Saccharomyces cerevisiae S288C: one gene and its partner. The protein of the gene in region 2 purifies or fractionates together with the protein of the main gene of each other region. This does not show direct contact. Each region holds a gene or a part of one and is shown on either strand. Other genes may lie near its edges.

The links.
Region 1: the proteins of CLP1 (region 2) and SEC31 purify together in Saccharomyces cerevisiae (affinity purification with mass spectrometry, with the first as the bait; 2 studies listed by BioGRID). This does not show direct contact.

The regions. Positions count from the first base shown.
Region 1 is NC_001136.10:105,462-111,841, reverse strand, and holds SEC31 (Sec31p), read right to left. Parts: upstream 4,635-6,380; coding exon 813-4,634; downstream 1-812. Other genes in the region: SNF3 (glucose sensor), read right to left, coding at 1-262; ASF2 (Asf2p), read left to right, coding at 5,348-6,380. UniProt on the Saccharomyces cerevisiae protein: Component of the coat protein complex II (COPII) which promotes the formation of transport vesicles from the endoplasmic reticulum (ER).
Region 2 is NC_001147.6:800,470-804,447, forward strand, and holds CLP1 (cleavage polyadenylation factor subunit CLP1), read right to left. Parts: upstream 1,839-3,978; coding exon 501-1,838; downstream 1-500. Other genes in the region: APC5 (anaphase promoting complex subunit 5), read right to left, coding at 1-262; TUM1 (thiosulfate sulfurtransferase), read right to left, coding at 2,081-2,995; TMA16 (Tma16p), read left to right, coding at 3,198-3,734; peptide alpha-N-acetyltransferase subunit NAT5, read left to right, coding at 3,908-3,978. UniProt on the Saccharomyces cerevisiae protein: Component of the cleavage factor IA (CF IA) complex, which is involved in the endonucleolytic cleavage during polyadenylation-dependent pre-mRNA 3'-end formation. Associates with HRB1/CF IB to form the cleavage factor I (CF I) complex.

The DNA of each region.
Region 1 (6,380 bases), on a different chromosome or scaffold from region 2:
GCTCTGAAAATAAAATTGAGTTGTCGTCTATGGTAGAAATGTCATCCGTAAACACGGATGTCATATTAGATTGCCTGTCAGAATTTTGCCGCTGCAAGCTCGTAGGGGTTCGTATGCTACCTGTCGTATCATCTGTTGTATGATCTTTGTTACTATTGTTTCGTCGCAGTGCTATGCCCTTCACCCTCTGAAGAGCTTTGTCTAGGAAACCCTGTTTCTCTTGGCGTAATGTTTCGCTAGAACTGTTACTATTAGGATCCATTTATAAATTCTTCTTTCTATGCCAACAAAGGCATATCCTTCTGTTTAAAAAGGTCCTCAGTAAAACTTTTCTGTTTTAATTTCTATAGTGAGGTCAACTTATAGTGACTCTCTCTGTTTTTCTTCAATAAAATGCTTCTTATCTGTCCTATGATCTCTCGATGTGTAAGTACTATCAATGCAATTTGCCGAGGATAGGACTATTGTCTAGTTTTTCTCAGTATGACTGAATTTCCCCAGATTATAGAATAATTGACAGTTCCTCCTCCTTTTGTTCTTTAGAATGTGCGATGCGGCAAGTTTAAAATTTCCCCGGAGATTTGCCGCTCGAGGTGTACATGGTAAAAACATAAGGGAAAGGCTGTAAAAAAGATATAAGAGGTATTGGTTGGTTTTGAGAAGTAATGTTAAGCTAGTTCTAATTGTGATCTTGATTAGGTTTAAACATAAAAGGATAAGTACATAAATATATAAATATAATACTATAAGACATAATAAGAAAAAAACAAGGCCAATACGCCACTTTTTGTACTGAAAGTTTTGAGACTGAATTAATTCAAAGTCGCTTCAGCTATGCCAATCAACCTCTTCACTCCTGTCAGCCAGTTACCACCCTCTTGAGCATGGTTTGTAGCGATATTAGCATGGATGACCATAGCTTCTTTGTATTTCTTTTCCTTCATTAATGCGACGAGGTCATGTAAACAATCGATTGTTGGTTGGGTTAATAAATCCTGCTTTTCCAAATGGTAGAAAAGAATCTTTAATCGTTTATCACAATCCTTTAATTGTTTGGAGTACTCCTTTGGGGTCAATGGTGTTACGCGAGCCAGTTCTTCTTTCAAGAAGTCGACAATGGGTTGTTGATCAGCTGGAATTTCATGACTGACATTCTCAGCGGAGGTATTAACCTGAGAAGCCAAAGTTGGCGGTTGAGAAGGCTGCAATGGAGAGGCCGAGCTGGAAAGGGTTGGAGGATAAGTAGCACCTTGAGATGGGTTTTGTTCTATACTAGCTAACTTGTTGCTTCTCTTCTTCATGCTAATCGGAGGGGGGCCAGTGGGAGGTTTGTTAAAAACGGGAGGAGGAGAGGTCATGGTATGGTTATTAGTATACGGACCGGTTGGAGGATAGGAGGAACCGTTGGGTTGAGTGGTTGCAGTTGGAGCATATGGATTAGAGGCCTTTGGCAACGGAGCTGGAGGCACGCCTCCAGATAATGGGGTTGCTACTCTTTGTTGTGGTGGTGGAGCATAGGGGTTCGATGAAGCTACCTGAGCGGTGTTTGACGTTTGGTTTGCTGTAGAAATAGTACCTATTGGGAATTGTTGTGATGATTGAGGAGGAGCGTATGGATTTGATATGGATGCCCTTGGTGACTCAGAAGTTGCAACCAAGGATGGGACTCTAGAATTTTTGTGTAGAGGAGGTGGTGATACCATTGACACAGAAGAGGGAGCTCTGGAAAGAGGTGGCGGAGGCATGGTACTAGCAGCATTTGCAGGGATACCATTTAATGGAGTTGGTGTCGATAGGATATTTGGAGGGGCAACAGATACAGCCTTGGCACGAGATGGTTTTTCTTTGACCTTCAAAGGCAAATCATTCCAACCATCATTGGCTTTACGGTTGAGATGTGGCGTTTGACCCGATACAGCATTAATTGGAGGTTGTGAAGGAATAGAGCTAGATTGAGCATTATAGTCGCCCATAATAGGCATACCAGGTTGTATAGGAGCAAAAGTGTTTTGCGGAATCGACGTTGTAGATACGTTCGTTGCAGGAACTGTTGCAGTGGCATATGGGTTAGGCGGAGGAGCAAAAGAATTCAATCTGGTCGAGCTATTTGTTTTGTTAACAAAAGGTGACGCCATCGAAGGTTGGCTTGGTGGCGCATATTTACCTTCTGTATGAACAGGAGCACTAGTGGTGGTTGCTGGAACGTACGGCTTTGGAGGTAGAGCATTTGCAGAGGCGCCTGGTGTCATACCATAAAATGGTGCCTGCATACTAGGAATAGAAGTAGTAGAAGGCATTCCAGGAGTTGGTAGTACAGGAACGTTCTTATTTGTCTTGGCGTTTGTATACTTGGCTTTGCTGGTCGTCGCTGTCGCAGGATTTTGTGCCGGTAATGATTTGCCGGAAGCAATCAAGACACGTGCCTTTTCTGTTTTAACCTCTTCATTGTCACTTGGTAAACTATTTAAGAATTCAGTGGCTAGTTCGAAATTTCCTGTGGAAGTAGTTAAGTTGATAAATTCCAAAAATTTGGCAATTAATTGCTCATTATTAATGGTAGAGCTTCCATTAATGAAGTTGGAAAATACGGTGAATCTTTCAATGAACTCAGTTAGACATTCGGAATGAGCTTCATAAATTGTCTTATTATCTTTCTTCAATTTATCCTCCAAATCTGGAAATTCTGATAACCAAATTGAAGCCACCTTATCTAATGATCCGGCAGCCAAGTACAAAGTCAAAGAATCTTGTCTATGACCATTTTCCTTTAACCTGTCTCCCAATTTAATCAACATTTCATTCCTCTGGGCGATATCATTTGGATATAAGTTTTGAATTGCTTTAGAGATAAACTTCCACTGAGAGACATCCAAATTTTCAACCAAATCATCTACTTCCCTCTTAGAAATGGAGTATAGTATCCTCGAGAGCGATGATTTAGATCCATACTTCGCAAAATAGGCATTCTTGACACTTTCCTTTAATCTTTCGTTATTTGAATCTAATGCGATCACCATGGCCTCCATTAGTAAGTCATTCTCTAGAGAATTTTTCACAGCGCTCTTAATGTTGCCAGAAACCAAGTTCTTGGAAATAGTTTGTTCGATATTACCAGACAAGGAGAAATCGCCCTCGGGTTGGAAATTGGTTTCAATTTGTTGAAAGAATTCTTCCCCATCGTCTTCTTTCTCATTGTTGGCATCGTCTTGTGCATCTGATTCATCGTTGTCGAATGCAAGAGCCTCTTTCAAGAACTCCTCAGTACCGTCCATTGATAACTTTTCCAATAAATTCCAATCTTCTTCATTAACGTCATCAATAACTTTGACCAGTCTTTGATTTATTAATGGTTTGAAATCCTTAGTTTTCAACGCTTCACTCAAAGTAGTGTTTGATTCTAAGCCTGAAATTTTTGGGTTTGTTATAGATACACCTTTACCATCTGGAGTAATTTGAACCAATTTACCACCGAAAGCCCAATGAGCTGCGGGAGATGGTTCCCCATACCAAGTTGGGGCTTGTAAATGGAAAACAGTTGGCTTCTCTTTTGATTCCTCTCGGGAAACATTATTCCAAAAATCTGTTTCAGATTCTTGCTGCTTAGTTTCGGTTTCTTGCTCATCCAAAGTGTTTGTGAGATTTTGCAAAGTCTGTACCTCAATTTTGTTATCAAAGGAGGCACAAGCAAATAGGTCTGGAGCCTCTGGTGCAAATTTGGTCTTAAAACACCAGTTTCCACGAGCTGGGAATTGGGACAGTTGTTCGGCTGACTCAGGGTTCCATAGAAGAACGGTATTATCTCTACCACTGGACAATAATAGATGTTCGTCCTGATGACACCAATCTAATGACAAAATACCCTTTTGATGGCCTTGATTTAAAGTCTGCAATGGTGTGTTGGCGTTTCTTAAATCCCAGATCAGGATAGATGGATCATTATCGCTACCAGTAGCCGTTGCCACTCTTGTGGAGTTTTTTGGGTGCCATTCAACAACGGACAGCTGTTGCTTGATACCTGAATTAGGTGAAGTGTAACTTAGATGAATGACTTCCTTCTTAGCCTTCAAATCCCAAATAGATGCGAAATTAGACGACCCGGCAGATGCAAAAACATGGGCCAAAGATTGGTTCCATGCTAGGGAAATGACCTCGTCAACGGACGACATCGATTGACCCGGTGTCAATGGAGTATAATTGGAGGGCGATTCAGTGCATTTATTCATGTCCCAAATAAAAATTTCACCGTTGTTACCACCCGAAGCAAGAACGTTGTCTTGCTTTGCGTTAAACTTTACCGTCTTCACAGAGGAAGAATGGTTGCTAAATCTGGCCATGGAGTTGATAGCGTTGTTTGCTTCATTGGTGGAGTACAATTCCAAACTACCGTTATCCAGAGCACCAGCAATAATCTTGTTATTATGAGACCAATCCAAATCATTGAATTTGGAATCCACTTGCAAGGAAGCAATAGGCTTCTCCGAATCAGCAGCCAACAATGACCACAATTCTAGAGATGAATCAGTGGAGAAATTAGCATCCACCGTACCAGATACGGTACCAGAGACCAATAATGGAATTTTATCATGTGACCACGCAAACGTGGCTGTTCGAGAAAACTCAGCAAGTTTGACCATCTTTATTGTTCAATTAGGGAGAGCAAACGGGAACAAAGGGAAATATGTGTGAGTAAAGTGTCTATCGCAGAAGCTTGCCTTGTCCTAATGTTCTACACCTACAGTAGCGAAATAGTGCTGGTTCGTGACGTGTAAATTCAGAATGCAACCCGACTACAGGAATAGAGGAATGGATCTGACACGACTTGTTTGTTCTTTTCACTTTTCGTTCTCGGGCGGATTGATCGTGTATGGTGATTTTTCACGCTGAAGGGGTAGAACCAGAAGGGGATGGAAGGGGATAGATGAAAAAAAAAAAAATCTATGAAGTAGTAGCAAGATAGGCCAGATCTCCAGTCAATTGATGAGTGTGGTATTAGGCAGAAGCAGAGGACGGTGAAGAAGCATATCACATAATTCTCCACCAATTCTAAACGCACAGTTGCACCTTTTTTGGAAGACAATCTTTTCCTTGACTCGGAGGGCATATAACTTTGTATATTGTAAATTATGAAACCAACTACCAAGGCAGGTATGTTGCATAGCAATGGAGAAGATCTTCTGCGATGCTAGTATTAGCAAAGATGTAAAAGCGCTTTTCATGTCTTTAGGAGCGACGCGACGCGTGAGTAACATATCTATCCATAGGACAAATAAATAAACACCGGGGACGATTTTTGCACACAGCTTCGATCAGTGGAGAAAGGAGGGAAAAAGGCCAAGACTGAGTGCTTATGCCAAAAAATCGTGGTGTCTTGGATGCCATCACTCGCAGTGTGATAGATGGTAGTGATCAGGAGTCGAGCTCATCTTTCAACTCGGACAAGGAATATGCGGCTGTGACGAAGGGCCTCAGCAGCTCAAGAGTACAAAAGAAGTCATCTTTAAGGCAGATGAAAAGCAAAGTCAAGGAGCTTCAATCTTTAGTGAATCATTACCGAGAAAATGAAGCCGCTTTAGTGTCTAGCGCCAAGTTATTGTCCGGCGAGATCATAGGCTATGAAATTAAGATGGCTAGTTTACATGGAAAAATGAAAAGTATCCTGGATGAGAACAACGCGTTAAAGGAAACGCACAAGAGCTCTGCTGAAAAGAGAATCGAACTTGTTCGACTTCCCTCTAGCAAAGAAGAACGCAACTACGATGAATACACTTTGCTTGTTAATCTCAAGAAGGAAATCTGCGCCAAGTTACAGGACTACAAAAACGTCCAGAACACGGTGAACACCAAGTTAGATGAGATTCACACGTTCCATGAAAAATACTACGAAGGACTAGAACTAAGTTTAGACAGCAAGGTGTTTGATGCAGAAAGCTCAAAAGAGCTGGCCAAAGTGAGGCGAGAACTGAATAACGTGAGAAAAAATTCCGAAATCAAAGTGAATAACTTGAAAATGCAACTGCTACAAGCAACCAAATCACTGGAGCACTTGAAGAAGCAGGCTAAAGCAAAGGATGACTATCTTAAATGTATTCCTGAGCTGGTCGACAAAGCCAATCTCACGATGTTATCCTACAAGAAAAGCATCGCTAACCAGAGGGAGACTATCGAAGCATTACAAGCAGAACTATCGCAACAATCAGAAACAAAGGGGCAAATAGAAACAGAAACACAAAATCAAGTACAAATCCCCACCAATGTGACTTTGGTGGACCCCTTTGAGGAAAACAATCCAGAGGATTTGTTCGCTATCCAGGAACAGGAATTGCAAGATCTAAGGTTGCATAAGAAAATGGCCGATGAGAGGAGCCGAACTACCCACTTGC
Region 2 (3,978 bases):
CATCTAACAGTATCCTTATTATATTATCTAGAATAGGAAGTACAGGAGGAGGAACAATAGATGAAGATCTTAAATTACTATTATCCTTGAGCAGAGGATTCCATTCTAGTGAAGGTCTAGTAGGGGATATTAACCGAAGAAATACTGCTGTTGGCACTGATATGCCATTATCTTGTGAGCAGTGAGCATGTATTAGGATTAATATGCATAGATCGTACGGAGTAATAAAGTTAGTAATACCCAATGGACCATACTTACTCATTTTTCTGATCAGTTTTGATTTGCCTTTTCCTTTTAACTCTCGTCGTTTTTTATATTCCTCGATGAAACTGCAGCAGTTTTTTAGCTAGCGCAAATAATGTCAAAGACACAAATTGGCAATATTGTTAATATATAAGCGTTGGAAAAATTAAAAATAAAAATCACCCAAACAATACTTCGACAGTACAGTACGATATTTGTATGGATTTGATATAAGGCTCTTGAACAGATAATTTTACTTACTCTAAATATCTATATGAAGTTAGAATCATCGCCTTGCTGGGAAGTCGGCCTGGGACAGGTAGTAAAACCCTTAATTTACGCCTTTTTTCATTAACTTCTGTAATCAAAGCGAATCCTAAAATAGGCGATTTTATTACTGTTGCCTGATCTGCCCTTCTTTCTGCGAACGTTATGGCTATAATAGCGTGCTGTAGGTTACTTGGAGTTATAGTGACGGGGAACAGTTCCACCCTACCGACCTCGTTATCGAAAACATTGCTAGGTTTCCAAATAGTTAAATCCTCATAATCAACACCAATAGCATAAGGACTCAAGGCTGTATCAAGAGAGCCGTAAAAGTACTCTCTTATGGATGTCCTCTGCAAGGATCTTTTGTATACATCATCAACTGCGGATACACCATCCAATTTAGGAATGAAAAAAATATTATTATTTCCCAATTCTGGACCAAATGTCTTTTTTACTTTCTCCCAAAGAGGATCCGTTTCAGAACATAGTACTAGCATAATGTTAACATTGAGTTTCTCAATGATATGGTGCAGTTCAGCCAAATTTTCATCCAGTTGTGATATTGATGGCGTATCGACAATGCACCCTGATCTCCTGACTTGAGGATCCAAATGTAACCTTTGACCTACTACTTGACCTAACTGGCTTATACACTCAAGGTATAGATCTTTGTTCTCATTAATCCTTTCCAGGCCAAAATTTTTCACCATTGGCTGCTTATTATGTAGTAGTGTGGCACCACTAGTGAGACTCTGACCCCAAGTGGGTAGTTGTGCATCAAGTATATCTGATATTGGGGTGGCAGATATGCATCCAGGAACAGTAAAAATGGGCTGTTGAGGGTCAAGATTGATGTATAGTGGTTGGTAAGCGTTGAATTTCAAAGCGTAAGAACATAGTGTCCTCGATAGGGAAGTCTTCCCGGTTTGCGAACCACCAACAATCACCACTCGAGGGCCTTCAAAGTTAGACATTCGTATCTTCTCCAACATGAAGTGTAGATTATAAATATATTTCATAGTATGGTTAGGCTTGACAGTTATTGTATTCGTAGTTAAATCAGGACATTTCCATAATAATTCTGTTTCTTCGACAGCGTATATGGGAAACTTCCAGTTCTGAAAAGTGTACTCATCATCTACTGCCAACTCGGTGCCAAATATCTCAACTATGCCCGAGTTTACCTTGACTATCAGTTTTCCCTCTGCTTTAAGATCAATTTGCCAATCACTGCCCTTGGGAATAACCAACTTGTGCCATTCGTTATCACCAGTTATCAATTCTTCAGAGGTAGTATGCTCATCAATACCAGGTAGACTTGCCATGATGGTTTAATCGTGTTGGAATTTCGAAAAGAATTAATAGTTTGTTCTTTTCCCTCGATAGAAAGGTCTCTGCTCATTTTTGCCAGCAGTCTTATTTTTTGCTGTTATTTTCTATTTTACCGGGCAATAACAATGAAGAGCACAAATAAGACAAAGAAAGGGAGATCGCCCTTTAAGTAAGTAGATAGATAATTAATATATGTAGCTAAATAAATCGACTTGTCAAGAATATATTTCTCTTATTAATCTCTGTTTTCAGCAATCCACTCGGGCCCGGATTTCAAGACCCACTCGGTCCAGGATCCATCATATAATCTAACATTGGGAACTCCTGCTAGCTCCAATGCTGTCTTGATAATGACTCCTGAAACGCCAGTTCCACAAGAGCAAATAGTTGGTTTACTTGGGTCCAAAGTGCAATGAAAGTCTTTCAATGCCTTTTCCAAAGTAGCGTGTATCGCCTCCCCAGCTTCTGGGTACGTTTTGGTCTCCGGATCAAGTAAACTTCCATATGGTAATGGTTGGGTACCTGGAATATGCCCCGATGGAATGTCGGAACGAGGCTCTGGTTCTGTACCTTCGAATCTACCGAGCGACCTTGCATCGAAAGCATTGAATTTCTTAGCCAGTTCCCCACTCTTTACCAATTGGAACATTTCCTCATAGTCTACAATCTCCTTGTCTTGGAAACTTTCTGAGGACTCATAATGACTCTTTGGATAGGGTGAAAACGCTGCCACCTTAGAGGAATCTAGAGGGTACTTAAACTCTCTGTACTGGTTGAAATTATTTAGTAAGTACACCTTAGGATGTCCCATCACTCCTAATGTCCAAGCACATCTAGGGGAGCTAAAGTTACCAACACGATCGTAAACCACTAATATATCATCTTTTTGAACTCCTAAATTACTCATAGCGTCGTCAAAAACCTTCTTTGTAGGGAACATATGTGGATAGGGCGATTTTTTGTCACTGATTGCATCAATATCAAAGAAAATGGAGTTTGGTATACGTGGTTTGGTCAAGAAATCCACTTTATTATCAAGCTTCCAACTGGGTAGGTACCATGTTGCATCAACTGGAACGATTCTATGAACCTTCTCACTGGCCACTAACTTAACAAACGCTTTTGGAGAAATAAGATCAAATAATGGCATTGAATGTATGGGCAATTTTCTTCACAACTTTATGCTTTTGTCCTCATTGTTTGAATGCACTTACGCTGTATTATTGTACACAGCTGAACATCCCGAGCGAAAATTTTAAAATGGTTTAATAGACGAGATGAGAGATGAGCTCTTTAAAGGTACTTTCTAAGAAGAAAAGTATCGGAACAGGACTTACCACGACAAACTAATCATGCCGGTTACTAAATCTTTATCTAAGTTGCAAAAGAACTTATCCAAGAAAGGGAAAAATATCACGGTTCATCCGAAGGGTAGAAAGTATGAAAAGCTGGTCAGGGCTACTATGCGTGAAGATAAAATCGCAGCCAAAAAGAAGCTTCATCAAGACAAAAGAGTCCACGAACTAGCTCGGGTAAAATTTATGCAGGATGTAGTTAACTCTGATACATTCAAAGGGCAACCAATATTTGATCACGCCCACACAAGAGAGTTTATTCAAAGTTTTATTGAAAGAGATGATACGGAATTAGACGAACTCAAGAAGAAGAGGAGGTCAAACAGGCCACCAAGCAATAGACAAGTGCTACTGCAACAAAGGAGGGATCAAGAGTTAAAAGAATTTAAGGCGGGGTTTCTCTGTCCAGACTTGAGTGATGCGAAGAATATGGAATTTCTAAGAAACTGGAATGGCACTTTTGGCCTTTTGAATACTCTAAGATTGATCAGAATTAATGATAAAGGTGAACAAGTCGTTGGAGGAAATGAATAAGAAGTGTCGCAGAGGAATCTTTATGGTTTATATGCTCTTTATATAATTTTATGTATATTATAGTAGAAAAAGCAAAGAAAAAAAAGAAAATTGATATTATTAGCGAAGCTTTTTCACAAATTAATCCGTAACAAACAAATTGGCAAAGACAATTGAAGGGAGTAGTGCGAAATATGGGCCGTGATATATGCACATTAGACAATGTTTACGCTAACAATTTGGGCATGCTAACCAAACTAGCTCA